Arabidopsis thaliana: one gene and its partner. The protein of the gene in region 1 interacts with the protein of each later gene in a pairwise test. Each region holds a gene or a part of one and is shown in the gene's direction. Other genes may lie near its edges.

Region 1 (3,600 bases):
GTGACTCATAATGAAACGTATCATAATGGATTGACGAGTAGTTGTCTGATATTGACATCTTAATTTATAACTTCCCTTTTCATTGTTAATGTTCCTTACTGTCTTCTGATTGATAATAAAGACGTTGACATGTCAAACCACATAATTATTTGAAAAATATATATTATTTCTTCAGATTTTCATCATTTGTTATAAGTCTCGATAAGACAGTTTTTGTTTTTTTAACAATTTTTTACAAAAAACTTACGACCATAATTTAGTTCAGGCGAAAATCAGTGAATCATTAATCATATTTATTAGTTTGGATTTTTATGTGTTTTTCTTTTTATGTATTTGAGGATTTTTCAGTTTGTGAAAACAAATCTAATATGCTTATTTGATTTCTTCTTTATTTGCTGTATTCTTAATATATCTTGCAGAGCTAAGGTAATACTCAAATTTTTTTTTTCCACACGTAAAAACTCATATTTATCAGTTTGGAATTACTGTATTCTTTTTAGTAGTCCTCTCACTCGCCATGGCAAGAAGAAGGTTTTTTTTTCCTTTTTCTTGCATTCCATGTTAATCAGTATTTGAATAAAAAAGCAAGCTAAATCGGCAAATGAACTTATATCCAAATAATCAAGATATCAATCTGTGTAAGCATTACTAGAAAAGTAGAGATACTCGTGTTACCGTGTAAATTAAAAGAATAAAAATGTGCTTTTCAAAAGTTATATACTTTTCTTGTGCACCCATAACTTTAGCAAAAGCAACCATCATCATTCTTGAGCAATTAAAACAAATAATATTGATCTTCATTTGGTGCCAAAATACTTTACGGTAATGACGTCAAACTCGATGTTTCTTGTCAAAGTCTGAAAGACCAATATAAAATAACACTAGACACATTATAAAATTAACATATTGGTTCATTGTAATTAAACCGTCGAATATATATAACGAAAATACCAATTACGCTGTGAATAAACAAACAAAATCATTTTATTAGTCATCGAGTAAATAAATTCGATTATAATCCTCAATAGTCAATATATATATAGCTCACATCACATTATGCGATTAACAAAAACAATCCAAAACAGTTAAATGATTAGAAATTAAACGAGTCTCACTAAATTATTAACGACTCCAAATCACGAGAAGGCTTAAGAGTTATCATGTCGGGAGAATTTAACTGATAACCTCTTCCATTATCTCTCAATCACGTGATTTTTGTTCAACGAGTACCGCATCTCAAGAATAAAAATGGCAATTTAGGTAAATATTTGTCATTTTCAAGGGCAATGGAACTTAAAGATGCATTTCAGAAGGAAAAGCTTTGTCGTGTTATGAGGGAAATGTGGGGACGCAGCTACTTCGCTTTCAAACCGTTGGATGAATATCCTTTAAGGTTCATCGTACAAGATCGACGGCACTCACCGAGGGTGTACTCATGTTGTGACACAGAGGATCATGTCTACTTGGAGTACAGCTAGCAGCTAGAGATTCTGAGCCGATAACGTCGAGAATTGTAGCCGGCTAAGTCGTATATGCTGGTTTAAACTTTAATCTGTACTTATATATAAGTCAACGTGCTTATCAAAATCAGCTCCCTTATCGTGTGATAGGTGCATTGTCTTATTAGACTCCGTTATCCGTCACCTTCGCATATTAAAATCACTTTTTATTTTTTGGTTTTAAATTAAAGTCTCCATTTCTGCAAGATTTTAATGTTCGTATAAATAAGCCTGAAGAGAGAGAGAGAGAGAGAGAGAAAACTTGTTTTTTTTTTTTCCATTAGTTTTTTTCTTACTTTCTGGTCGAGAGAGGAGAGTCCAAAAAACCCAAATCCTTGGCCTCTTTCAATATCAGGAGAGAGAAACTGAAGCTCTGGCCTTTGTTTCTGAAATCGATCGTCTTCTTCTTCTTCATGGCAAGTAACGTATCTAGGTCTTTCATTTTTGGTTTAATATCTAAATCGTAGCTTTTCTGGGTTTTTGATTTTTGTTTTTGTCTCATGGAAGTGAAAAAGATGGCCATTTTAAGCTTTATATTTAATTCGGTGGACAATAATAATACTAGGAAGACCTAATTTTTGTGTAGCCCAATTAAACACTAATTAAATCCGCCGGAATAGAGACTTTTGGAGAATTTTCCGGAGGATAGTTGTAAAGATCTAGTTATATACTGTGTAATTAAGAGGCTGTGTCTATTTTCATTTTTTAAAAATAATAATTAAATGGAGGAATATCTGAAACCCAGTAAATTGGGATGATTTGATGGTTTTGTAAGGTTATCATCGTCGCCATTATATTGATATGCAGATCTGGTGGGTTTTTCTGCATCTGACTTGATAGCTTTATCGGACTGAGTGGCAAAATCAATCATGTCTTCTCTGAGCAGAGAGCTCGTCTTCTTGATCTTACAGTTTTTAGATGAAGAGAAGTTTAAAGAGACTGTTCATAAGTATGTCCGATCTCTCTTTTCCTTTTTGTCTTTTATTAGGCATTATTATTAACTTGATTGATTATTAATTAGGCTTGAACAAGAATCTGGGTTTTTCTTCAATATGAAGTATTTTGAGGATGAGGTGCACAATGGTAACTGGGATGAGGTTGAGAAGTATCTCTCTGGTTTTACTAAAGTTGATGATAATCGATACTCCATGAAGATTTTCTTCGAGATTAGGAAGCAGAAGTATCTCGAGGCCTTGGATAGGTAACTTGTGTCTCTCAACAACAACAAGAATCAAATGTTTTCATATTGCCAATCAATCACACCTGCTGCTGCTTCTATCTAGGCATGATCGTCCCAAGGCTGTCGATATTTTAGTCAAAGATTTGAAAGTGTTTTCCACTTTTAATGAGGAGCTTTTCAAGGAAATCACTCAGCTCTTGACCTTAGAAAACTTCAGGGAGAACGAGCAGTTATCCAAGTATGGGGACACAAAGTCCGCCAGAGCTATCATGTTGGTGGAACTCAAGAAGTTGATTGAAGCTAATCCTTTATTCCGTGATAAATTGCAGTTTCCTACCCTTAGAACTTCACGCCTCAGGACTCTGATTAATCAGAGGTATTCTTTGTCCTTTCTTGTTCACTTCAACAAATTTTCTTCTTGTCAGCTACTTTAACTCCTTGTTTCTATGTGGCTACATAAACCTGCAGCTTAAATTGGCAACACCAGCTTTGTAAGAACCCAAGGCCTAATCCTGATATTAAGACTCTCTTTGTCGATCATTCCTGCCGCCTACCAAATGATGCACGAGCACCATCCCCTGTCAACAATCCGCTTCTTGGATCATTACCAAAAGCCGAGGGATTTCCTCCTCTAGGCGCACACGGGGTAGGTCAATTTCCACCTGATTTTTCGTATTTTCTATAAGTGCCATTTCTACTGCTTTTGGTTCTAGCTCTATAGTTACCTTTACATGCCGTGCTTGACTTACCTTTATGTCTTTAGCCTTTTCAACCAACACCTTCTCCGGTTCCGACACCTCTTGCTGGTTGGATGTCTAGTCCTTCCTCTGTCCCACATCCAGCTGTGTCTGGAGGACCCATTGCTCTTGGTGCTCCATCCATCCAAGGTTATTTGCTTATCAAATGTGGTGTTTCTTTATA
Region 2 (3,832 bases), on another chromosome or scaffold:
AAACCCTAGATCTTCAAACTCATTCACCACACATATCGAATTGCTCTCTTCCATTGCTATCGCGTCTCTCACTCTCTTCTCTTCCGCCATTGTAAGAAATCCGATATCAGACCAAGACCAGACCATGTTCTTCTCTCGGAAATCCAACAAGCTAATATAACAGTTATCTTTCCTTGGAAACAAAGTAGCTACAAGAAGACAATTCTTACCACTCAACCATTGCAACTTATCAGCATCTCCTAAAGACCAACCAGGACTCTCGTAAAAGAAATCTACTTGCTTTCCAGTACTTTGATCCCAAACTCCAATCCCATACTCATTACTTCTTCCTTTACAGCTCGTAAAGATCTTAGAATCAGGACTAAAACTCAAAGCTCCAGCACTATAACTCTTAACCTGATTATCATGACTAACCTGAAACTTATACCTAAGCTCACCAGAAGATGAGCTAAACAATCCCATTCCTCCATCTCCTCTTCCTAATCTCTCACAAGCAGAGAGTACAATGTTACCAGAATCAATCCAACCAACATCGTTCACTCTCTGGTAATCAAGATTAATCGTTGGATGCTCCTCAAGCATCCAATCAAAGACATGGACGACACTCCCATGAGCTATGCAGCATCCACCATCCGGACCAGCTCTTATCGCCGTTCCGTCTCCAGGAGCTATGCCGGTGACGGAACGAGATAGGTGGAGTCTGTTACCGTCGAAAGGTCCCCACTTTGCGGTTCGTAAGTGGTCTATTAAGCCGTAGAACATTGCTTCTTTGTGAAGGAGACGCTCCGGGATATTAGGCGGGATGTTTAAGTCTCCTGTTCGGAGAAGATCGAGAAGAACAGCGAAGCAATCTGGATTCCTATCGATGAAGAGATCCCCGGGTTGTGAAAGATTCCAATTTTCGTCGAATAATGCTCCGAAGAAGGAATCGCGACCTGCGTTAGCGAGCGTTGTCGCTGTCGTTTCGAAGATTCTGCCACCAACGTTGAATTTGATCCTGTCATTTGATAAACCCATTATTTCTGATTTCTGAAAATAGGTGAAATCAATGATTTTTATGGATTCGAACCAAAAGCATTAATGACAAGACAAGGAAGCCATGAACGCTCGAACTCGGATTGAAAATATTCGAAATTCGATCGGATTCGAAGAAATTGAATCCTGGGAAAGGATAACGAAATGAAATCTGATTTATGATTAATCAAATTGAATACGATGATCTGGACTCTGGATATTTTTTTAAAAAAAGCTGAGATTCCCAGAAGAGAAAATAAAACGATCTGTCTTGGTCTCGGACATTTTTCCGTTGCTCGGGCATTTAAAACGTAAGAAACCCAACTGGAACATGGTGGGACCTACTAGAGACAATACTCGTGTTACTACCGTCAGATGCTTTTAGATATTGTCGTCTATCCTGCGGTCGAGATTTCGTGTAATTTCAAAGCTAATACCGTGATCCATGATAACGTTTCTAAAGCCCATATAGATAGATATCATCCCATTAACATATCCTTTTTTTTGTATGCTGAAATGGGGCCATTAGAAGCCCTGAAGAAAATGAAGAATACAAACAATTTCGTTTTTTCCATTGAAATATTTTGCTATTTTCGTGCTGAGTCTTATCATACATTAAAGTACGTATATGTTTTTCCTCTTTCAGTCACTATTTTGGAAGAACGCAAAACAAACTCCACTTTTCTTGCAGTTGTTTCCTCTATAAAGTAAGTAATTTACCACTGTACTAATCTTTTCGGGGTCAGTCATGATCTAAACTAGATGGATCAACACAACAAAAAATTACCTTTGATATATCAAAATTCGTAGAACATTGACCATATTCATTATGCTATTTATCACCACATCACATGATAATAAACAAACAAACATCCTAGATAGTCTTAAGATAAATTTTACATAGTAAACTAAACGGAACACGTCAATGATTTGACGTGACGCAGGGGTGATTAACGGAGAAATAAACGGAGTTGGTTTAACTATCTACAGTCAAACAAAGACTGAAAGACATTAATGCCCCTTCTTTCTCTTTCTTTTTTGGTATCTTTTTTTCTTTCTTCTTTTGCTTTTAAAGCAGAGAAGGCATAATAAAGGACCAAAACGCAGCGTTTTCTTCCGGAGATCAGTCGGTCGGAAAGCGGCTACCTTTTTGTCTGCCTAGAGAATTTGTTCGTTTCTTTCTTTTACTCTCTTCAGACAAAACCCACGAGATACAGAAAAAGAGGACAAGAGAGAATCGTCCATGGAAGAAGACACTGGTATCGACGAAGCTAAGACATACACGGTGGAGAAGAGCGAGAAAGTGGAGCCGGAGAAGGACGGACTGAGTCAATTCAGAGACGAGGAAAAATCACTTGGTGCGGATATGGAAGATTTACATGATGAGACTGTGCGAGAAACCCTAGGCAAGGATCAGGTTCAAGGTAACGGTTTATTCTGCGCAAAATTCTTTATTGGTTTTTATTTATTTATTCGAGACTTTATTTTTTGACGAAATGATGTTTGAGTTTACCAGGTGTTCGAGAAAATTCCTCTGTGGAACCAAATGTTGAAGATGTATTAGAAGTGAATGTGAGTTTGCTTCAGACTCTTCTGCTATTCATAAACTTTCTTAACACTTACAACTTTGATTCTCTCATTAACATTGATTGTGCTAGAACTTGTAAAGTTTAACTCATTTCAGTGTCTTCGATGTTACTCGTTCAGTGATTATACAATAACATGGGAATAGGATTAATCGTAATGGTTTTAACCTTTGGCCAAGTTCAATCTGTATCTGTATCAGTTTGATCTGTTACATTTTAGTGTGTCTGATTTCTTAGGCAATTCTGAGGACAAGAATCACTGTTATCAAGGCATGACATTTAACTGCTTTTTGTATCACATTGGCAGGAGACTGATAGCGTCAAGGAAACTGTTGTAAGTGCGATTGTGCCGGTTGATGAAGTGGAAGAGAATCGTCAGGTAGAAACATCTCCTTCTCTGGCTGCATCGTCAGACTCATTGACAGTGACGCCATGTCTATCTTTGGATCCTGCAACTGCTTCAACCGCACAAGATTTACCACTGGTTTCAGTTCCAACTAAACAAGAGCAAAGATCAGATTCGCCGGTGGTTAACAGATTGTCGGTTACTCCTGTTCCTAGGACACCGGCTCGTGATGGTTATAATTGGAGAAAATATGGACAGAAGCAGGTTAAGAGTCCCAAGGGCTCACGGAGTTACTACAGGTGTACATACACTGAATGTTGTGCTAAAAAAATTGAATGCTCCAATGATTCAGGCAATGTGGTAGAGATTGTTAACAAAGGTTTACATACTCATGAACCTCCCCGGAAGACTAGCTTCTCCCCGAGAGAGATTAGAGTTACAACAGCTATCCGGCCTGTTTCAGAGGATGATACAGTAGTAGAAGAGCTATCAATTGTTCCTAGCGGTTCAGATCCGTCTGCTTCTACTAAAGAATACATCTGTGAGTCGCAAACACTCGTTGACCGGAAAAGACACTGTGAGAACGAAGCTGTGGAGGAACCAGAGCCAAAACGAAGGCAAGTTTGTAGAATTTTGCATTTCGGTGCTTACTCTTCACTTTGAAAGATGAAATTAATAGACTTTCTTCTCTCTATTTTTCAGACTGAAAAAAGATAACTCACAGAGTTCAGATTCTGTCTCCAAACCTGGAAAGAAAAACAAATTCGTAGTACACGCAGCTGGTGATGTTGGTATCTGTGGTGATGGATACAGGTGGCGTAAATACGGGCAGAAAATGGTGAAAGGAAATCCTCATCCAAGGTCTAGAAAACTAAACGCATGACCC

Evidence for each region.
Region 2: the proteins of TPR1 (region 1) and WRKY32 interact in a two-hybrid assay, tested with the Arabidopsis thaliana proteins (one study listed by BioGRID).

The regions. Positions count from the first base shown.
Region 1 is NC_003070.9:30,265,215-30,268,814, reverse strand, and holds the start of TPR1 (TOPLESS-related 1), read left to right. Parts: upstream 1-1,689; 5' UTR 1,690-1,915; intron 1,916-2,274; exon of another isoform or gene 2,275-2,306; 5' UTR 2,307-2,368; coding exon 2,369-2,448; intron 2,449-2,520; coding exon 2,521-2,700; intron 2,701-2,782; coding exon 2,783-3,055; intron 3,056-3,147; coding exon 3,148-3,325; intron 3,326-3,442; coding exon 3,443-3,566; intron 3,567-3,600. UniProt on the Arabidopsis thaliana protein: Transcriptional corepressor. Activates TIR-NB-LRR R protein-mediated immune responses through repression of negative regulators such as CNGC2/DND1. Negative regulator of jasmonate responses.
Region 2 is NC_003075.7:15,052,334-15,056,165, reverse strand, and holds the start of WRKY32 (WRKY DNA-binding protein 32), read left to right. Parts: upstream 1-2,058; 5' UTR 2,059-2,257; coding exon 2,258-2,438; intron 2,439-2,530; coding exon 2,531-2,586; intron 2,587-2,907; coding exon 2,908-3,563; intron 3,564-3,648; coding exon 3,649-3,807; intron 3,808-3,832. Other genes in the region: AT4G30940 (BTB/POZ domain with WD40/YVTN repeat-like protein), read right to left, coding at 1-1,017. UniProt on the Arabidopsis thaliana protein: Transcription factor. Interacts specifically with the W box (5'-(T)TGAC[CT]-3'), a frequently occurring elicitor-responsive cis-acting element.